Linked DNA regions of Struthio camelus. The protein of the gene in region 1 binds, or shares a complex with, the protein of each later gene. Links are inferred from orthologs where the notes say so. Each region holds a gene or a part of one and is shown in the gene's direction. Other genes may lie near its edges.

Region 1 (11,080 bases):
CCGCCTCCACGGCTGCCGCGCTCGTCGCCCAGTGGCTCCTCCAGCTCCGAGGTGGCCGAGGTGGCGTCACTGCAGTCGCTGACGGAGCCGCGGGCCAGGCGCCGCGAGACGGCGGCAAAGACGCCGCCGGGCGAGCGCAGCTCCTCAGCTCCCGGCGACAGGGCGTCCGAAGGCGTTGCGGCGGCGGCGGCCGGCGGGAAGCGGAAGTGCGAGCCGCCCGAGGGGGCCGGTGGGGCGCTCTGGGGCACGGGGCCACCTGCAGGTGGGGGAGTGGTGTCAGGGTGGCCATCGCAGCCCCCTCACCCCCTCCCCGCCATGGCCCCTGCTCACCTGCCAGGCCCACGTCGATGAAGGGGTAGTTGACCAGCACCAGCTTGTTGAAGTTGAATTTGTAGGTGAAGCGTTTACCCTTGGTCTTGTGCAGGATCCGCTTGTTGTAATAGTACCTGCGGGGCAGGAGAGCGTCAGTCGGACGCACCGAGTGCAGCCCCTCGGCCCAGACACCTGGGCCCACCTGTCACACAACTGGTGAGTCATGGGGGTGCCTGGATGCCTGGGCTCCCTTCGCACTGCGGCTAGTTTGGGAGCTCTATAGGGAGAGTGGGGTGACCAGACCCCTGGGTCCCCTCCTGTTCATGGGGCACCTGGACGCCTGGGTCCACCCTCTCAGGACACAGGACACCTGGGGGTGAGAGCAGGCGGTGTGGGGTGCCTGGACACCTGAGTTTCTCCGCTCTCTGGCAGGAAAGGGAATACAAGTAGCTGGTGCCGGGATGGCACCCGGACGCCTGGGCCCTCGCTGCTCACCTCAGCGCCCGGCTCAGCTTGTCGTAGTTCATCTGGGGCTTGCACTTGCGGACGCCCCAGAGCCGGGCCACCTCGTCAGGGTCCTTGATGACGAACTCGCCGTAGTCGCCCTGCCAGGCGATGACGTCGTGGTATTCCTCCTTGCGCAGCAGCTCCAGGATGAAGTGCCACAGCTGGATCTGCCGCGAGCCCGGGCTCGACTCCGGCTTGTACGCCCAGTCCGGGAAGGCGAAGCCTGCGGCGGGCGGAGAGGGCTCAGCCGGCACAGGGCCAGGCAACCCAGACGCCCGGGTCCCCCATGCCACGGGGCAGAAAGGTGGCCAGACGCCTGGATCCCCTGCGCAAGGGGCAGCCTGGATGCTGTGGTCCCCTGTGCAGATTTGGGACGGGCCATGGGCAGCCTGGACCCCTGGGTCCTCCAGAAAAGGCCAGGGAAGCTGCCCGGACGCCTGGGTCCCCCTGTGCAAGGGGCAGCCCGAACGCCTGGGTCCTCTGGGACAACCAGGGAGGCCGCCCAGACACTTGGGTTCCCTGCACCGTGGGGTAGAGGGGCAGCTGGACGCCTGGGCCCTCTACGCCATGAGGCAGGGCGGCTCGGATGCCTGGGCCCTCAGCGGGGCTGAAGGGGTTAACCCCCCCACCCCATCCGCAAGGTGCGCGTCACCCCGCCGGGGACCTGGCGGGGAGGGACCCGGGGTGGGGGGGGGACAGGAAACCGGCTGCCGCCGCCGGCCTCTCCCGGCACCGCCAGGCTCCCGGGCTGCCGGCCAAGGCCGCCGGCTGCTGCCAGCCGGGATGGGGGGGGCCCCCCCACCCACCCCATAGCCGCTGTGGGGCGGGGGGGGCCGTGCCAGGCGGCCCCCGGGCCGGGGCTGAGCTCAGCGTCATGCACAAGGGCCCCTTTATGAGTCCGCGGCCGGGCCGGATTCCCGGGAAAAGGCGCCGGGTTGCGGGATGGGAGATGGGGGGGGAGGGGGCCGTTTCCCGGCTCCCGGGGCCCAGGCGTCCCCGAGCGCATCAATAATGCAGGGCCCTAATGGAGCTGCCGCCGCCACGATGAGCTCAGCTGCCTCCCGGCCAGGGGGGGACGGCGCCAAGGGGGGGGGACCCGAGTGACACCCCCGCCCGCCAAAGCAGGGCATCCTGTGCCAAAACAGCTCGTTTTCCCCCCAAAATCACGTCTCCAGGCAACGGGGCAGACGCTAAAAATAACCTGCCAGGGAGGAGGAGGAGGAGCAGCAGCAGCAGCCCCCCCGCCGCCACCCACAGCTGCCCCATAGGCAGCCCCCCCCAGGGTAGGGGGCACCCCATAACTGCCCCCATGAGCAGCACCCTCACCCCATAACCAGCCCCCATAATTGGCCCCCCTCAGGGTATGGAGTGCCCCATAACTGGTCCCCCCAGGCTATGGGGCACCCCATAACTGGCACCTCCAGGCTATGGGGTGCCCCATAACTGCCCCCTCCATAAGCAGCAACCCTGGCTTATGGGGCACCCCATAACTGCCCCCATGAACAGCACCTTTGCCCCATAACCAGCCCCCCCGGGTATGGGGCACCCCATAAGTGGCCCAATAAACAACAACCCTGGGCTATTGGTGCCCCATAGCCCCATACCCCCCCCCACGCCCAGCCTCACCCCATGGGCTAGTGGCACCCCATAGCCCCCTCTGGCCACCCCTCCCCCTCGTCAGCACACTCGGGGCCTGTTCTCGCTAATTAGCTGGGAGGGGGGAAGGGGGGGGCTGGGACGTGACATCAGCGGCGGCCGCGGCCCCATCAATGGACCACTGTTCCTGGCCGCCCCCCCCAAGTCCTGCGGGGGGGCCATGGGGCCCAGGCATCCGGGACGCCCCCCAGCCCACCACAGCCCAGGTGTCCGGGACACCCCCCAGCACAACACGGCCCCGGGGGCCCAGGTGTCCGGGGGTTCTCGCGGCCCCGAGCTCTGCACAGCCCTTGGAGGGGGGCACGACACAGGTGAGGGCCCCCCGCACACACGTGTGCAAGCATGTCCTCCCCCACACACACGCGTGTGCGAGAGTGACCTTCCCCCCACACATGCGTGCGAGCTGGTGTGTGCGCCCCCACCCCCCACACACGCGTGTGCGTTGCGCCCCCGCCCCAGCGCCTGGAGCACGCGTGGGCACCGGCCCCCCCCGCACACGCCTGCGCACACGCCCGCGCACACAAAGCACGCCCTGTCCGCCGGCCGTCCCGCTCCAAGTTTCCTCCCCGCCCCCCCCGAGCACGCCTGGGCCCCCCGGACTCGTGTCCCGTGTCGTCGCTCCCCCCCTGCATTGCATCACCCCCCCCCCGGCCCCACACATGGAGGGAGGTCATGACGATGAGCCCCTCGGGAGGGGACACACAGACCCCCAAGTCTGACCCCCCAGATAGGGGGAACATGTCCCCCCCCCCAATCCCGTCCCGCACGTGGGACCCACCCACCCCCCCCTTATTGGGGGTCCCCCACGCGGGGGGCAGAGGATCCCCGGCCCCCCCCAAACCTCACACCTGGGGAGCACAGGGACCCCGGCCCCCACACTTGGGGGGCGCCGGGACCCCCAACTCTGCGGGGGGGGTCACGCCCCGCCCTTCCCCCCCCCCCGCGGGGCGCAAAGTTTCGGCGAGTTCCGCGGGGGAGGGGGCGGGGCCGGGGCGGGGCCTGCCGCGGGCGGGGGGCGGGGCCGGCGGCGGCAGGGGTACGGGGCGGGGGAGGGGACAAGTTTGAACAGGAGCGAGACGCGCTCCAGCCCGGCCGGATTCCTGCAGACAATCGGGGCGGGGGGGGGGGCACCGCAGCGCCCGCCCCCCCCCTTAAGGTGGGCCGGGGGGGGTAAAGTCCGACCCCAACCTTCGCCTCCCCCTAACACGTTTCAGGTGGCACCGCGCGGGGGGGGGGCGCCCCCCCACGGCGCCGTGACCGCTAGCCCGCCCCCCCAGCGGTGTTGGGGGGGGTCACGACGACCCCCCCCTCCCCGCCCCCAGCCGGCGCCACCTTAAACCCTCGTTGTTTGTCGGGAACAAAAAAAAAGTTCCCAAAAGGCGCCGACGGCAACTTGGCGCGGGGGGGGAGGGGGGATACGGGGGGAGGGGGGACACGACCCCCCCGCCCCCTCCCCGCGGCGCCCCTCCCCCCCGCGCGCACACACAACGTGGCACAGCCCCCCCCGCGCCCCTCCCCCCCGGGAAAAACACCCCCCGCGGGAAAACACCCCCCCGGTGGGGATAAACACCCCCCCGCGGAGATTCCCCCCGCGAATAAATGCCCCCCCCCCGCGGGGATAAAACCTCCCCCGCGGGGATAAACACCCGCCTGGGCAAATAAATGACCCCCCCGGGGGAACAAATACCCCCCCCCGCAGGCGCCTGGTTATGGGGGGGCCCGGCCGGCGCCGCCGCTTCGCGCGAAGCAACAGGTCCCGGCGCCGCCAACTCCGCCGGAGCCCCCCGCCCCCCCGCCGGGGGTTCCTCCCCCCCCCCAGCGGCCCCCCCCTTTAAAAACAGTAGTAGATCCGGGCGCGGGGGCGGCCGCCCACGTGGGGCGGGGGGGGCCCAAAGTTTGTGCGGCGGCGGCGGGGGGGCAACTTTCGCCCCCGTCAACCGGCGCCGCCGCTCTTCTTCCCCCCCCCCCCGCGGCGAAATAAAATTACAGATATAAAAACTTCCCCTCCCCCCGGGTAAGTCCCCCCCCGCCCCGGGGGGGGGGCGCAGTCCCCACCTGCGTCCGCCGGCGTCTTCATGGCTCCGCGCGCTGCAGCCGCCGCCGCCGCCGGGTCGGTGTCGGGCTCGGCCCCCCCGCCGCCCCCCCCCGCCGCCGCCGCCCCCCGCCCTCCCCGCCAGCCCGGGACGCCCACGCCCCCTGCTCACGTCACCGCCGCGTCGCCATGGACACTAAGCCCGCCCCCCTCCCCCTCCCGCCACCGCCTCCCCGCCCGGCCACGCCCACGGGGGGAGGGGAAGGAGGGGGCGCTTAAAGGGGCCGCGCGGGGAGGGGCGATGGGGCAGAAAGGGGCAATGGTGTAGGAGGGAGGCACATGGGGCAGGAGGGGGCAATTGGGGACAACGGGGTCCATGAGGCAGGAGGGGGCAGATGGGGAGGGGTGATTGGGACAGTGACATCTGGGGCAGGAGGGGAAAGGGGGTCCCCATGAAGACCCCTTCTGGGATCTGGGCTGAGACCCGACAAAGCTCATGACATGCAGGCCCGGCGTGTTCCACACGCAGCCGCAGGGCCAGGCCAGGAGGCAAAGGCCCCAGCACGCGAGGCCCTGGCATGAGCGGCCCCCGTGGGGGGTAATTAACCTCCCAGGTTGTTTTGCCTCGTTTGTGCTGGCGGCTGATGCAACTCCCCAGCGCCCGTGCACCTTGCTGGGCCGCTTGCACCCCCGGCCCTTGCACGTGCCCGAGCACCAGGCCTTGCGCACACCCGTGCACACACCCTTGCACAGGGCCTTGCACGCACCCCTGCACCAGGTCTTGCACGTGCCCTTGTCCAGGGCCTTGCATAAGGCTTTCTGCGTGCCCTCACATGTGCTATTGCACGGGGCCTCGCACGCACTCTCACACAGAGCCTTGCATGGAGCCTTACACAGGGCCTCGCACGCATCCCAGCATGGGGCCTTGCACTGCCCTCACACGTGCACTCGCACGCTGCCTTATGGGTGCCATCGCACAGGCTGTCACACGCACCCCTGCACCAGCTCTCGCATACATCTCTTTGCAGGACCTTGCACGGGGCCTCGCATGCGCGGGGCCAGGGCTGAGCCGGGAGGCCGGAGGCGGCAGCGGGCGCCGGCTGGGGGCCGCGGGCCGGGGCTGGTGCCGCCAGGGCCGGGCCCCGGGTTATAAATAGGCGCCGTATAAATAATGCAGCTTCCCCGACTATAATTATCGGCTGGAAGTTTGCGGTGCAGGAGATGCATTAAGCGGCTACCCCTCCCCCCCACCCCAAATCCTGCCCATTTACCCCGGCCAGGGGAAACTGAGGCACGAGGGGCACTGGGCCCCCTCACACGAGGGCCGTGCAAAGCCCCGCCGGGCCCAATTAAAACCTTATCAGAGCCCGGCTGATAACAGGGTGGGGGGGGGCAAAAGCCGCTCTTAAAGGGGCAGCGCAGCCCGGGACCTCCCCCCACGCCGTTGCACGGCGCGCGTTCCCACCCCACGCCTGCGCGTGCCGCGTGCACGCGCCCGTACGCAAACCCCTCGGCAGTGCGCGGCACGAGCGCACAGGCCGCGCGTGCACCCTTTCCCCCCTATGCTGTTGCACGGCACATGCACGCCCCAGTGGGCCCGCCCCACGCGGGCGCAGCCCACGCCGTTGCACGGTGCACGCGACCGCCCCGCGCCGCTGCACGGCACGTGAGCTCGCCCCATGCGCGCCCGCCCCACGCCGCGGCAGCGCGCGCCGCTCGGGGCGTGCCAGTGCGCGTGCGTGCGCGGGGCGGGGCGGGGCGCGCGGGGGCGGGGCGGGGGCGGGGGCGGGGGCGGGGCTCCGGCAGGCTCCAGCGTGTCACACACGCCCCGCGTGCGCTCCTCCCCCCTCCCGCTCTCCTCGTTCCCCGTCCTGCCGGAGGCGGGCGGCGATTGGCCCGCGCTGGCACTGCCGCCACCCAATGGGAGCGCCGAGCGGTGACCTCATCCCTCGGCCGCCCCGGGGGCAGATTGGCTGGCCAGGGCCCCGCCCCCGGGCCCCACGTGGGGAGTGTGGGGGGGTGCCCGGTCCGGCCTCTGATTGGCCGGGCGTCTGTCGGCGGCGGCTCCGCTGTTGCTGAGGGGAAGCGCGAGGGGCCCGGACGGGGCGAGACGGGGACCGGGAGAGGCCGCCGGGTGAGCTCATGCATATGCTAATGAGATGCAAATGACATGCAAATGGAGCGCCCCCGGGAGGGGCGGGGGCGGGCGGGAGGGGAGCGGGGGGGCGCGGGGAGGGGGCTGCTGTCCCCTCCCCCCTCCCCGAGGAGTTGGACTCCCCGGCCCTGAGGGGCGGGAGGGGGAGGAGGAAGGGGAGGGGCCTCCGCGTGGCATGCCGGGACCTGTAGTCCTTCCCGCGCGCCCAAGCCGGGGGCGGTGCCCGCGCGGGACTACAACTCCCAGCGGGCCGCGGTGCCGCGGGGCCTGACGGGAGCCGTAGTCGCTTCCCTGCCCGGGACACCTGAAGGCAGGGGGGGCCGCTATCGCCACCTCTTGCGAAGCCCCGCTCCCGTCAGCCCCCGCGCCGCGCTGCCGGCAGGGAGAGGTGCGAACTACAACTCCCGGCAGGCTTCGCGCGGGGCATGCCGGGAGCCGCGGCCACCTCCCCGGCCTGCCAGGCGGCCGCGGAGGACCACCTCTCCCAGGCGCCCTTGCGCGCCCCTTCCCGCATCCTCGCTGGGGCATGCTGGGAGCTGTAGTTCTCGCCCACCGGCTTAGGCGGCGCCGCTCCCGCGAGGAACTACCCGTCCCGGCAGCCGCCGCGCGGCCCCGCGCTTCCTCCTCGCGCAGCGCCAGGTAAACAAGTCTGGGCCTAGCCTCGCCCCGCCCCCACGGGGCCTCCATTGGCTACTGTATACGCAGCACCTCCCCGCGGCCCCCAGCCGCGCCTTCTCATTGGCTACTGTAAGTGCCGCTCGAGGGCGGAGGGGCGGGCCGCGCCGCGCAGCTGTCCCGCCCCCGCGAGGCGGCGGTTGGCCGGCAGGAGTGACAGTCTGAGGGGGCGGGCCGAGACCGGGCCGTGCTGCGCGCCGGTTGGCCGCGCCCGCCGCCAGTCGGGCGGTTGTGGCCGTCGATTGGCCGGCGCCGCCAGCTGGTCCAGATTCATTCACCATTTTGTCGGTTGGAGTAAAAGGGGCTCGGAGGGGCCCGAGAGGGGCTCGGGCTGGACCATCCCGCGGGGGACAGGGGGGGCCGGGCTGTACCAACCTCTCCGCAGAGCGGGGGGGAGCGGGCTGCGCCAGGCTCCCCCCTCGCACGGCGCGGGGGGGGCGAACAGGTAATGGGGGGGGCACTGGGAGGTACCAACACCCCCGAAACTGGGGGGAGGGGGAAGGTTGGGACGTACCAACTCCGCCCCCTCAAAAACTGCAAGGGGGAGCGGTAGGGGGGCACCGACACCCCCAAAACGGGAAGTGTCCCAAAACCTCCAAATAGTGGGTGTCACTATTAGGGACCGACCCCCCCCGAATTTTTTTTTGGGGGGGAATGGCCAAAAGTACCCCCCCGGGAGGGGGTTGCTGGGACATACCACCCCTCTCCGGGAATGGGGGGGTTGGGGGCCCCCCGGGGTTACCGGGCAGGGGGGCAGGAGGGACCACCCCACTGGCTGGGGGGGCAGGATCCACCCAGTCTTCCCTGAGGGGGACCGGGGGGGTGGTTGTGGGGGGGTCACGGAGAGGGCAGACATGGCCCTGTGACGGGGCTCTGGGCCCGGGGGGAGAGACCTTGCTGGGCCGGGCCTGGGGAGCTGCGAGCAGGGGCCAGTGTCCCCCCTGCCAGGAACCAGTGCCCCCCAAGGGGTCGATGTCCCCCCCGAGGGACCAGGTGACCCCCCCAGGGGCTGCTGCCCCCCCCCAAGGTGCCTCCAAGGGGCTGCTCCCCCCAAGGGATTGGTCCCCCCCCACACCCAGGAGCCACTCCTGGGTGATGGTCCCCTCCTAAAGGTACCAGGACCCCCCCAAAGGGGTTCGTCCCCCCTCAAGGGGCTGTTCTCTCCCCCAAGGTGCCCCCCCATGATACCATTCCCCCCCCAGGGGGCAATTCCCCCCCCAAGGGGCTAGTCCCCCCCCCAAGCTGCCCCTAAGGGCCAATTTCCCCCCCTGATGATGATCACCCCCCTCCAGGGGCAATTCCCCCCCCCCAAATGCCTGATTCCCCTCCCAAGATACTAGCCCCCCACTAGGGGCCACCCCCCCATATTCTCCCCCCCCCCACCCCGGTGTGCCCCTATGCCACGTAGAGGCCACAGGCCCAGCCCAGGCATTTTGATGACCCCCCCTGACCCCCCACTTTAACTCTCTCCCCACAGCTCCCCGTGGCTGAAGCCCGGCCTGGCAAGAGGAAGATGAAACCGGTGAGGAAGGCCGGCAGCTCCTCCTCCTCTTCCTCTTCCTCCTCCTCTTCCTCCTCGTCCTTGTGCGGGAGCAGCGGGCGACTGCCGCCCACCGGCCGCCCCAAGGTGCCCAAGCGCCGTGCACCCGAGGGTGCCGCCAGCGGGCCAAAGCTGGAGGGCGAGGAAGACGGCGGCGGCGAGGAAGCAGCGGCAGCAGCGGTGCAGACGGATCCAGGGCCGCGGGACGCCAGCGGCGAGGAGCCGCCGGGCAGCCGCAAGACGGCCACCTTCAAGGCCCGGGCACCACGCAAGAAGCCACCAGCGGGCGAGGAGTGGAGCGGCGAGGAGGAGGAGGACGAGGAGGCCGAAGGGGCGCCCGGCCCGTCCTCCTCCGGCACCGACACGGCCAGCGAGCACTCAGCCGACGAGGCGGGCGGCCCTGGCCGGGCGGCGCTGCGGCGCCTGCGGGCGCAGCGGGTGCTGGCGCGCCGCCCCGGCGGCCTCTTCCAGCCAGCGGTGGTGAAGCAGGTGCGGGAGCGCGGGCGGGAGCTGGCCGTGCAGTTCGCCGGCGAGCGCAGCCTGACGTACTACGCGGCGGCGGCCCCGGACGTGGTGCTGGACGCCGCGCCGCCGCCAGGCACCCTGGCGCTGGGCACGGCCGTCTGCGCCCGCCTGCAGGAGGAGGAGGAGGAGGACGGCGGCTACCGCGAAGGCACCGTGGTGGAGATCGGCGCCAAAGCCACCTGCTACCGCATCCGCTTTGCCGGCGCCGCTGCGCACCGCGACACGGCGTGGGTGCCGCGCTCCGACCTCCGCCTCCTCCGCCCGCCCTGGAGCCGGGAGCCGCCGGCCGAGCCGCCGGATGAGGACGAGGCGCCGGAGCCGAAGCAGCCAGAGGACGCCGAGGTGTGCAAGATCAGCGCCGCCGTGCGGGCGGACAGCGACCCGCCGCCGCCGCCGGTGCCGCCGCCGGCCGCCCGGCTCCTGTCGCCCCCCAAGTCGCCGGCGCCGCCGCGGCTCAGCCCAGAGGCAGGTGGCAGCCGGGCGCCGTCCGAGAAGGGCGGCGTCGCCTCGCGGTGCCGGACGCCGCTGACGGCGGCACAGCAGAAGTACAAGAAGGGCGACGTGGTGTGCACGCCCAACGGCATCCGCAAGAAGTTCAACGGCAAGCAGTGGCGGCGGCTGTGCTCGCGCGACGGCTGCATGAAGGAGTCGCAGCGGCGCGGCTACTGCTCCCGGCACCTCTCCATGCGCACCAAGGAGATGGAGGGGCTGGCCGAGGGCCGGCCCGGCGGGCCGCGCGACGGCAGCGCCGAGTTCGACTGGGACGAGACGTCACGCGACAGCGAGGCCAGCGGCGGCGGCGGTTCCCGCGGCGGCGACTCGCGGCCCCGCTTGGCGCCGCCGCCAGCCGACTTGTCCCGCTTCGAGTTCGACGAGTGCGAGGCCGCCGTCATGCTGGTGTCGCTGGGCAGCTCGCGCTCGGGCACGCCGTCCTTCTCGCCCGTCTCCAACCAGTCGCCCTTCTCGCCCGCCCCGTCGCCCTCGCCCTCGCCCCTCTTCGGCTTCCGCCCGGCCAACTTCAGCCCCGTCAGCGCCTCGCCGGTGCTGCAGCGGGCGGCCGCCCGCAGCCGCCACGTCAGCGCTGGCGCCCCCAAGGCCGGCGAGGGGCTGAGCCCCGAGGCGCTGTCCCACGGGCCGCCCCGCGGCCGGCACGCCTCGGGCGTCGCGCCCACTTTCCAGACCAGCCTCGCCTTCACCGTGCCCGTCAGCCCCGGCAAGCGCAAGGCCGAGCCGCCGCCGCCGCCGGCCCTCGACTTCCACAAAGCCGAGGCGGACCTGGGGGGCGGCGGCGGCGCGGGGCCCCCGTCGCCCTTCGGCGCCCGCCCGCGCCAGCCGCCCTCGCCGCTGCTGCTGCTGTCGCCGCCGGCCGGGCTGACGGCGGAGCCGGGGCCGGCGGTGCGGCGGGTGCCGGCGGTGCAGCGCGACTCGCCCGTCATCGTGCGCAACCCCGACGTGCCGCTGCCGCCCGCCAAGCCGCCCGACGGCCCGCGCCTCCTCGGCAAAGCCGCCCGCGACGCCCGCCCCGCCGCCAAGGGGCAGCTCCAAGCGCCCGTGCCCATCAACGTGGGGCGGGCGCATGCCGCCGCCGCCGCCGTGGGGCAGCCGGGGCCGTTGCCCCCCAGCGGGGCCGGGGCCGGGGCTGGGCCTGCCGCTGCCGCCTTCGGGCTCTCGTCGCCCT
Region 2 (11,155 bases), on another chromosome or scaffold:
TTGGCTTGACAAAGTGTATTTCAGCCTGGTACCTATAAATATACGTCACCCCCTATTGCACTAAAGGATTATTCCATTCTATATGTAAGCCTTTATTAATTGTGCACCAGGTACATAATCACGACTAGCTAGGGATCTAGCATGCATTTTTCATAGTCCTCAAGTTTCTGATCTTTGTATAAGGAAGACAGTGCTAAGCCCTAACTAAACTTATAACCAAGAATCTTGTCATTACAAACTACAGAAGAATTCAATACATACACATCCTACTTCCAGCTTAAGGTGATCGAAGACCAAGAACTCTTCAATACTGAGTTTGAAAAAAATACCATATCTTGAAACAAACTTATTTTCGGAGACTTCCTATAAGCTTTGTTTTAGCCTATAAAGTTCACGTGAGAAAGGATAGTTACATCACATCTTCCCACAGCTAACTTTGGCTAACCACTTATCTACTTTCTTTATACCTCTGTCTTTTCTGTCTCCTCCCTTTACTTCCTTTATTCTTATGGTTTGCTTACACTGGGAATAATCTGCTAACTATAGCTCTGTTGCTATTGCTCCCTTAGCAGACACACTATTTCAGAATGAAAGCGGCTTTTTTTCTAGAATGGAGTTTCCACGTAGGGAATTTCCCTAGCTTACCTACAGTGGTATAATTATTAATAATTCCTTTACCAGTCAGTTTCCCTATATAGGCAAATACTTGACTTTCAAGTACCTATTGATGCTAACATTATATATGGCATAGAACAAAAAAAAATTCCCTACCATCTAGCATATATAGAGAACTTCATTGGATGCTTTCAGATCCAATGCCGGTCTATTTTTTTCCAACTCTATCAGCTGATCTAGTAAGAGATATTACCTCTCTGCACCAGCTTTGCCTGCTTACACCCCTGGGCCGTCACACCTACGCAAGACTAGGAAACCAAGCTAATCATAGTGGCCCGCAGCAACCTGCCTGTGGGCCTTGAGCCCTTCTTCATACCTTAAACATACTGTTAACTACACTGCCTGCCACCAATCACCCCCCCACCTTGTGTAATCTGGTTGACTGATGTCACATCTCCCCTTTGGATAACGTGCATTCATAAGGCAGCTGCAGGGGAAGAAGATGGAGATGAAAAGGAAGAAGTGCAGAGATCAAAGGCATAACAGAAAGAGCTTTCTCTGAATTTACTAAACAACCAACTGATGAAGTACCAGTGCACCTTTATACATTTCTGTCTTGCTCCCCAGTGCCCCCTTCCCTCCAATACTACTCACTCCCTTAAAGCCATGCTAAACGTGTAGGGTTTATGCTTTCTGCCCTATGCATTTCATTTTTATGTCTTGCACACCCATTCCTCCTACCTGCTTTCTCAGTTGTCACTGCCATTGCAAAATAGCAGAAGAGACAAAAATCTATACATATCTTTTGCAATATAGACATTTTATGAAACTAGCAATTTCATAGCACCACAACGAATTGTTCATGGATGCGGGACCTTAATGGTACAATCCCATAAACTGGGTAATTTTTCTTGGATAAAAGCAAGCCATATAATTAGAAAAGGGAACTAGTTACTTGTAATGAAAGAATAATCAAATCATCATTAAAAGGAAATTAGCTGCATTTATCTTAATTCTATGGGCCCTACTGTTACCTCCTGAGAGAAAAAGCTTCAGGAGGATAAAATTTACTTGACAGTCTCAGTGACTTTTGCCACTCCTGTTTGTTCATGCATGAGGGCGCCGTTTATTATGTTTTGGCAGAGCAAGTTGCATTTAACTGAGAAAAAGCCATTAAAAGGCTATTTGTTTCCTTTCCTTAAAAAAGGTACACCTCACCTTTCAGGGATTGCATTTGGCTCCATCTGGCTCCCCTGTCCTCCCACTTGCAGCTCACTATTGTTGGGACAGAGCCAGGGAAGAAAGTAAGAGAGGATCTGCGAAGGCTTTGTGTCTAGCTAGAACTGTGCACAGTCTTGCTGAGCAGGAATCCTCTGTGGCTCTCTCCCAGGCTTTGGAGTCACTTCACATGAGGTTCACAGGACCTGCTTAGGACTAGTACTAACATACCTCTACTTTTTATGCTAACAGCATGAAGGGAACTGTTCTGCGTTTAGCCAGCATCCTCCCTCACCCAGAGGCCAAAAGGAGGAAAGGCAATCTATGTGGGTGTGTGTGTGGGGGGGGGTAGAAACACAGATAAAGTAAGCTTGATTCTACTCCCCAGAGCTCTTTCCACTCTTCAGTACCACATGATACAGAAGGAAAGGATGCAGAGAAATACTGTTACGTGCAATAATGTGATACCTGTTTCACCGCAAGAGAGAAGCGGAATCTAACAGTAACTACTGTAGGTATGAGTGAAGAGAAAGTGTCAGTCAAAGGCTCAGATTTTACTCTCAAATGTGAGCAACATTTCCCATGTCCCTCCCATCTCATTTGAGTAATCTGTGGCAGAGACGCAGAGATGCTGAATATCAGCAGGTACACCTGAAGTCAGTGGGATGTGAACTTTCAGTATACATTGAATATTATAAAGTGTTTTCTACTCTGGAATTGAAGGTCTTCCATTTCTCCATATATGTATCTGGAAGTGCTGATATTTTCCATTTCCTGAATGTAAGATAGGATAATACCATCCATTTCATAACCCTGTTACAGAAATAAAGTCATTAATGTTTAGCAGGATGATAGCACTCCTGAAAAGCCTTAAAGGAAATTAATAATTTTAGATTCAATGAAATGTAATGCTGTGCAGGAAACTGTACATTAAAATATACATGCAATAAGCATTAAAAACCATATTAACTAGAAACACAGAATTGTAAAGCTTCTGCAGTTTAGTCTCCTGCTATCTCAGGTGACTACATCACAAAATCCTTCTTATAAGCTGTCCGCCTTCAGAGCAGGTGGGCTTCTTGCCCTCAATAAAAGAAAGCCGTTCCATAACTCCATTGCTCTGAGAAGCCAAGATCTTCTAATTCTAAGCCTAAATTCCTTAATTGACAGTTTATACACATTTGTCTTCAGTTTAAATCACAATTCTCCCACCTTGTTATTTATTGTACTCCTTTTAAGACAACGTAAAATCTCCCTCTTAGCTTTTATATTGCTAAACTAAAGGCAGGAAATTCTTCTAGCCTCCTCTCATAAAAGCTCTCCCAAGAATATCATCCCTACTGTGAGAGAGGGTTCCTCTGGGGAAACTAGCTTATGGCTAGGTCATTAAAGACCATATCACGATGCAGTCTTAAGGCATATAAATCCACAGGACCCAAATCTGAACAAACCTAGACAGCAGCCACAACACCTAATAGGTCTGAAGCCAGACACAGGCCATGCAGCTGACCTGCACATATAAAGCAGACTCGATACGTGCAGGTAAGTCTGGACTCATTGCACAGCTGATATCAAGTCCTCTGTGCCTATGACTTGCTATGCCCAGCATTTCCCAGTTTTTTTATGATGGTCCTGCATCTCTTAATGCAAGCTTACAACGGGTGGGAGAGAGGTGTGAACTAAATTGTATGGCAGACTGTAATTCTAATATTTTCCTAATTTTTGAGGAGGGACAGTGAAGGAAGTAGTCTTGATTAGATCAGCTTTGCCTTTCATTAGGTCAGATTTGCTCCAATAAAATCTACTTATCCATGCTTTGTAGGTGACATTGTTTTATTTCTGATGGAGACGTGACATTAATCAAGAAAGGTTCTGTGCTGCCACTGGTCAGTTTTGATTTAGTGATTTTTTATTACCACTTTCACTTCATATGTGAATGGGGGCGATCATTAGGCACTTAAGTGAAAATATCCTATTGACAAGGAAGAATAAAAAGGCAATGTAAAATTGTAGCAAGTTGCCAGGACAGTAATTTCTGGGATAAGTTATATATTTCCATAAGGCTTTATGACAGAATTTCATTAACTTTGAACAGAGTATTATCAATAGGTCCTTTGCTATAATAGAATAAATGCCCAAACTTACATGGCAAGGACAAATAATGGTTTCTTCACAGCATAGACCTAATTTCCACATATATAATCTCAGTCCTAGTCCAAACAAAGATCAAGAACTTTACAAGCTGAGACAATATCCTGAGGTTGATTCAGAGAATTCATCATCCCATCTGGATGCTGAAGTTGCTGAACATTACTATATTTGGCGATGCTGAAATCAAAGGTGAGAAATTTCGTCACTTCAACACAGAGACTTTGTAGTGCACAGATATTTGTGAACCCAAACTAGCCTAAGGCCTGACAGACAGTATCTGATCCACTCCTGGATTTTGTATGCTGAATGTTGTGGCAAACAACACAAACCCACTATCTCTTTACCACTTCCTCTGAGACTCAGGCAGTATGAGTCTAGAAAAAAATCATGCTAAAGCATGAAGAAGACCATCCAATTAGCGTTTCGAAAAGACAAGCAGCAATAGTTGCCTCACATCTATTAATTCATGGCTGGAAAGCATTTTATTATTCAGTACGTAACAGCACGAACCTAAAATTCTAACCTCTGTCCATTGTATCTCTGACCTCTTGAGAATTAACTCCAGATGAAAGGAAAAAAAGCAAATATATTGACTGTCGCTTGTGCCAAATGCTTGTCTTCCCCTGCCCACGGCCTCACGACCACAGGAATATTACATCTCTAAAATCAACTTTCCTCTCACCCAGACCCTAAGGGCAGAGCACAGTCATGATAGCTTCATATAAACGGCTTCTGAAATCTATCATTGAGAATACTGCATGTCAGGATAAGCGTCTCCAGGGCCAGAGCAACTAACTATTCCTGACAAAAAGAAATTCCTCCAGACTCTACCATTAGGTCGAGAAACAGGGAGGAATGTATGACAGACCTTATTGGTCCTTCCTCCTCTCTGGCCTCAGGAAAACACACCTCATCCTAGACCAGTGGCTCCGAAAGGGCATAACTTCCTTTGTCAGAGACACCCCACTCTCACCCTATCATTATCTTCATTCCTCTGCTGTGAGAGCCCAACACCGGGCTCCGTGTCCTGCAGTCAGGGAGAACTCAAGCCCTGACTGTCCATTTGCCCCGGGGAAAACCGCGCACCTAGCCACGCAAGTGCACGCGGCGAGCGCGGCCCCACCAACGCCGGGAGCCCAACAGCCTCCGTCAACGGCTTCTGCTGCTGCCGACCGCCCAAAAGAGCCGTCCCAAAGCCTCCTGCTCCTCCATCTCCCGAAGCCGGCGCCATCGCCGACCCCCGCGCCCACGTCTGCGCCCCAGCAGCACCGCAGTCTCCGGCACCTCTTCCCCAGGGCCGGCGGGCCCCTCGCCCGCCGCGGCCCTCACGCACCCTGTCAGCGGCGGCGCCGCCGGCCCGGCCCGGCCCCCGCGGGGGCCCAGCGCTGGCCGCAGCGACCTGGAGGCGGAAGAGCAGCCGCGGCCTTTTCGGGAGGCGGAGGGCGCGCGGCCGCGGGGGAAGGGGGGAGGCCCCCGCCTGGCGGCCCCCTGGCAGAGAGCCCCCGCCCCGCCGCGCCCCTCCCACCCGGCAGCGCCCGGACGCTTCCTCCCCTCCCCCCGCGGCGCGCGCCGCGGCCCCTCGCGCCACCACGGCCGCCCCCCTCCCCCCCGCCGCCGCCGCCGCCGCCGCCGCCGCCGCCGCCGCCGCCGCACGAGCCGCCCCGGCCGCGCCCCCGCGCTATCTCGTGCCGCGGCCGAGCCCCGGCTGCCAGGGCGAGGAGGTGGTGCGGCTGGGGGGAGGAGGGGGGCACGCCAGCGGGGGGGGGAAGGGGGGGGTTGTAGCAGCATCACTATGGCGACAGTGACGTCATCTCACCCTGGATCTAATTGGAGGAAACCCCGTGGCCCCAGCCGCAGCCCACGGGCCAACCGAGCTTGTGCCCTGCCTGCGCTCGCCCCCGCGGCGGCGCGCTGTGCTCCGATTGGCTGCCGGGGCGCGAAGGGGCGGGGCCTCGGGCGAAGAAGACGCTCTGATTGGCCGCGTGGGCGCGGGTTGAGCAGCGGGTAGGCTTGCCTGTGCCAACGCCCTTTAGCGCTGGCTCTTGCCTGAGACGGGAGCGGCTCTTTCTCTCCGCCACAGCCCCGAGCGAGGCAGCCGATCCGGTGGCGCCAGCCGGCCCGGCCTAGCGCGCGGACTCAGGTGAGCGGGGCGCCGCGCGCCCGCCGGCGGGAGGGGGCTCCGCGCCACCGCCGCCGCGTCCTCCATTTTGTGAGCGCGGCGTGGAGTCCTCGGCGGCCCCGGGGAGCGGGAGGTGCCGCCAGCCAGCGCCGCCATTTCGCACCCGGCGGGGCCGCCGGCTTCCTCTTTCCGCCCCGCCGCCGCGGGGCCAGCCTCCGGCCGCCTTCGCCTCTCGCCCCGCCACCTCCTCGCCACCCCCCTAACCCCCCCCCCGCTGTCCCTGGGGACGCGGCCGGCCGCGGCGTGGAGCCGCCGGGCCCCCGCCCTCGCCGGGGCCGAGACCCCACCCACTGCCGTGCCACAGCGCTCCCCGCCCGCCCGCCCGGGAATGCGGAGCCGCCGCCGCGCCCCCCGCGGCGCTGGGGGCCGCCGTCCCGGGGCCGGAGTCGCCGCCGCTCCCGCCGCGGCCGGGTGGAGGCGGGGAGGCCCCGGACCCTGCGGCGCTCCCCCGCCCTGTCGCCGCCCGCCGCGCCCCGCCGCCAGGAGGCGAAGCTGCCCGGGGCCGGCCGCCCCGCCGCGCCCGGGCCTCTCCCGGCTCCCTCGGCCTCGCCCGCCCCGCGGGTCTCGTCGAGCGGAGCGGAGCGCGGGAGCCCGAGGAGAGACGGGTCTCCTCGCCGCGCTTCCCGTCCTGCACCTGGCCTGGCGCCCCGGGCCTCCCTCGCTGTTCGCCGGTTTATTTTTAAACCGTTCCTTGGGTTCCTAGGGGCAAACTTATCGCTGGGGTTTTTTTTTTGTTTGTTTGTTTGTTTCTGGGGAGGAGGATTTCTTTTTTTCCTTGCTGGTTCCAATCTCTTGTAATGGCTTTGGCATACCCCCTCCTTTTTCAGTGCTCACCTGCAGGGCAGATGGTGTACAGGGGATGGACTTTGGGCAGGGCTTACTGGTGGCTAGATATCTTTCTCCAGGTTCTTGCTAAGCAGTGTGTTAATTTGTTCACTTGAGGTAAGGAAGGGAAGCAGAGTGAGGACAAAAAGGCAGCTCTGAAAAGATAGCTGTCTCCAGCACTTGGTCTTTAGGCTGCTTCCCTCTGGGTAGAGCTGAGTATGCCTTCCCCAGTTCAGTTTCTAGGTCGCCATTTCCCTAGGGATGGGCCCTTGAGACTGGTGCCTCTCCCCCTAGCTCTGCATGGAGGAGCAGGATGCTGCCAGTCCTTCAATCCAGGAAACGCTCCTGGAGATGAGGAAGAGGATACAAGACTCGCTACAGGCCTAGTTATGAGGAGCAGCATAAGATCATGTTCTGTATCACTTCAACCCAGAGTCATGGTTACTGTCTTCTTTCTGGCAGGTTTTCAGGGCGTTCTCTTCTTGACAGTGTGACATCCCCAGCTTCTCCTGCTTTTGCTACTCTACTGCTCTCACCCCTCTGCCAGCCACCATGGATAAGACCGAGTTGATCCAGAAAGCCAAGCTGGCTGAGCAGGCTGAGCGCTATGATGATATGGCCACCTGCATGAAGGCAGTAACCGAGCAAGGTGCTGAGCTTTCCAACGAGGAGCGCAACCTGCTCTCTGTGGCCTACAAGAACGTAGTGGGTGGGCGGCGCTCTGCCTGGAGGGTCATCTCTAGCATTGAGCAGAAGACAGACACCAGTGACAAGAAGATGCAGCTTATCAAGGACTATCGGGAGAAGGTGGAATCTGAGCTCAGGTCCATCTGCACCACTGTGCTGGTGAGTGGAGTTTCTTTTGCCCTCTCTTTTCTTCTCTTTGAGAGAGAGAAACAGTATTCATGTATGCTGCTGTCCTGAGGAGTAAGACTGTGAACTTGGCTGAGGAACGTCATGCACAATATCATGCTGTGGTAGGGGAAGTCAGTGCAGTAACTTCCGCAACTGTTGTGAGGGTTAGCGTAAGGAGGAAAATCGTCTGCGCTGCTGAGGAGCATGTCTGTGCAAAGGTATTTGAGACCCACAGACAGTGTTACTCCATGTAATTGCAGAGTCGCAGAGGATTTGGTCTCATGTCTGTTTGCACTGCGGTTAGTAAGCTTATCTGTTCATAAGATCAGCGGAAAACAAAATGATACATGAATTTTTTTCTTCAGATGAGACCTAGTACATTGTTAAAAGCATTTAAAGTAACTGGGTGTGTGTTTCTTTCACTTAGTGTTTCTTTGCAAGAAACAAATTCTCCAGAGGTCTTTAAGACATCTTGAAAACTTTCCTTTTACGTAAAAGTGTGAGTTTATAAAGTAAAACATCATCTTCAGTGAGCGTAGAAATAAAGATCTGCAGAAATTGGCTTTGTCATGTTCAAATTGACTTTTCAGTGGATCTTTACAACGAAGTTGCGGTAGTTACAGAATAAGGTAAGACCATGGTTTGAAGACTGACATAATACACCTCAGCAGGTGAAGAAGCCCAGTAATACAGAATTTACTCTGCTATAAGGAGCAGAATTCCAGGTGCTATTAACAGTGAAAGTACACTGTGCTGTGGCAGGGGCTGAACGTGCATCACCTTCTTCTACGTGATCAGGGAGTTCTGGCTGCAGGCAGTTGGATAGGTGTAATGCGCTAAGAATTGTGTGGCAAGTAATCTTTAGTAGCTTATTACACCTCAGTTAAAAATGTATTTTTGGTGTCTGGTATTGCAAACACAAGAAGAAGCAAGTCTACAAGGAAATAAACATTTACTGAGGTAAATGAATCCTGAGTTGGGTTAGGATACCCAAATCTGAAGCTGGTTTGTTTGGAAGTAACTGAAACTGCTTCTTGATGCTATGTCGCATACAGGGGAGCTGTACTTCTTGATTGTGCTGAAAATTCTCATATGTTTCTGTTTGGAATTGTTTTCTAAAGAAGTCAAAATGAGTTATCTTTGCTTCAGAGTCATTTGGAAATGTTATTAGCCTAATGAATCAGTTGAATTGATTTCTCAGTTAAGAGTCCATGTCTTTCAAAGAAGCTGTTTCTACAGTTGCAGATATAGGTAAAAATTTCAAAAATTTCAGCTTTGAGAAAGTGATGTTACTTGCGTAGGGCACTGATTCTTCTTTCCTGTGATGAGACTCGCTATAATTAGTGCTGATATTTATGCTCTTCATCATTCCTCTCAACCTCCTTTGTGCGGTGTTCCGGCTTGGGAACTAGTGTCTTGATCTGCACATAAAGCTTATTATTTAGACTTCTTAAGATCTCTTTCCTTATACCAAATGTAGCTCGTAAGAGGAGATTGTGGACAACATCTTGTACTGGTTGCTGCGCCATCTTAACAAGGAGCTCATTCCTTCTGTAAGGAGACTAATTGTCTTTGAAATGGAATGGTAAAGATAGCAAGGCGTTTCATGCAATGTCCATATTGAAATTTTCTGTTGCATCAAATGGTGGACAGCAGGTAGTTTAGTAGCTGCGCTAACACAAACCTTTTAACATGGGGGGGAAAAAAGCTTTTTCTTGTACTGGCTGAGCTCTTTCCTGCATTCCAGTCTTTCTGCTCTGTTCTCAGTTGTAGCCTGGTTGGCACCTTTCTGGTTTACTTCTCCCCTGGAAGGCCGCAGGAAGTAGCGAAGACAGAAACCTACAAACAGGCATGCTTTTCTTGTTCTACCCTCCTGGCCAAGATATGCCTTCCTTTGGGAGAAGGAGATGTCACCGTTTGCCGCTCACCTTCATATTTTTACTTGTCCTTTGAATGCCATGTGCAGTTAGGTTTCTCTTCCTTTCCCCCTTCGTCTACCGCTCCTGTGATCCATGAGTCAGCAACAGAGAGGTTGAAACTCGCAATGGGCAGGCACTACAAAGGATCAATTTCCTAAAGCTCAGTCAAGGTGCTTTTGAGTCCTTCCTCTTGGAGTTATGACTTCATGTTTAGTAATACTATAGAAACTGCTTTTAGTTAGCTTTTTTTGAGTTGAATCTCAAAGATGCTTTTTTAATTCTAAGAAGGCAGCTAAACTGAAACAACTGCTGGCAAATAGCGTGGAAAGGTTGCTTGTCAGCTGGAGTATTTGGATTTAGCAAGGGTGGATGTGCTGGGTGGAGTGTGACTGCTGTGTTAGTCATACTACTAACAGTTTTTTCGAAAGGTTTTTTCATCACTGGTGCAACTCAGCTTTTTTAAAGAGAAATATATCTGCTCTTCTAGAAACCTTTATTTAAAATACTTTCATGAGCATTACAAAATACTACTAATGGTTAATTGAATCTGCAGTCCTCCCTCCCCCCCCCCTCCCCCCCATAAAGGATGCCCCAAGCCAATTAGGTAAGCTATTATTTTTAGGCCATGGTTTGAACTTAGATTTCATCACCGCTAAAATACAAGCATTGAAAATTATGTTGATGGCCTGCTTTAATTGATATATGTAACTTTTACTAATTATTTAATTAATGTACAAACATTGTCAGTGGTCACAGTAAGATATTATTCCATCTCATGCCAAGCAGTGAAGACGTTTGTTGTTTTTAATTGTCTATCTTGCAAGTAAGAGTAGATGTGATCTGAATCATTTTTAACTGTTAATTGTATGACTAGTCTTTCCAGTGAGAGTGGCTCTTTAATGAAGGAGTGATTTGACTTTGTCAAACAACTCATGGCTGCCAGGAGTTTTTAACTTGAAGGAGGTACACTAGCAGGTTTTACCAAAATTCCTGTATTGATTGACTAATTCTTTGGTAATAGGAAGATTCCACATTAATTCTCTACTTGTGAAGAAAAGTCCAAATTGTTCTTGAAATTCTCCTATCCCTGAATAAAGAAGCAGGCTAGAGACTTGACTGTTTTATAAAGTTTAGCTGTGTATTTTCATATACATTGTGAGGTCCAAGTTCATGTTTCTTGATATTCTGAGTGATTTCAAGACAGGCTTACTAGGTAATGTGGAAGGGAATGGTGCAGCAACAACTTTCACATCATTGGTGAAATAATATACAAAACTTTGAACAATATAAGACTAGTGCTTTCTTCTTATGTATCATGTTTAATGGCTTCAGGCTTTCGGAAAAGGTAACGTATGTTCTTTGAAATGGAACTTCTCTGGGGCAGCAGATGCAA

The links.
Region 2: the proteins of CIC (region 1) and YWHAQ are in contact, whole or in part, in a crystal structure (PDB 6KZG), measured with the Homo sapiens proteins. The link is inferred for Struthio camelus from reciprocal best matches to the Homo sapiens genes CIC and YWHAQ. Residues at the interface, in NP_001291744.1 of Homo sapiens: Arg1207, Ser1208, Met1209, Ser1210, Glu1211, Thr1212, Gly1213, Thr1214; in NP_006817.1 of Homo sapiens: Lys49, Arg56, Lys120, Arg127, Tyr128, Gly169, Leu172, Asn173, Val176, Tyr179, Glu180, Leu216, Ile217, Leu220, Asp223, Asn224, Leu227, Trp228.

The regions. Positions count from the first base shown.
Region 1 is NC_090980.1:390,319-401,398, forward strand, and holds the start of CIC (protein capicua homolog), read left to right. Parts: upstream 1-6,524; 5' UTR 6,525-6,641; intron 6,642-7,073; exon of another isoform or gene 7,074-7,409; intron 7,410-7,473; exon of another isoform or gene 7,474-7,782; intron 7,783-8,814; 5' UTR 8,815-8,850; coding exon 8,851-11,080. Other genes in the region: ETS domain-containing transcription factor ERF, read right to left, coding at 1-256, 331-446, 808-1,042, 4,531-4,552. UniProt on the Homo sapiens protein: Transcriptional repressor which plays a role in development of the central nervous system (CNS). In concert with ATXN1 and ATXN1L, involved in brain development.
Region 2 is NC_090944.1:24,949,075-24,960,229, forward strand, and holds the start of YWHAQ (14-3-3 protein theta), read left to right. Parts: upstream 1-5,809; 5' UTR 5,810-6,124; intron 6,125-7,450; 5' UTR 7,451-7,540; coding exon 7,541-7,834; intron 7,835-11,155. UniProt on the Homo sapiens protein: Adapter protein implicated in the regulation of a large spectrum of both general and specialized signaling pathways. Binds to a large number of partners, usually by recognition of a phosphoserine or phosphothreonine motif.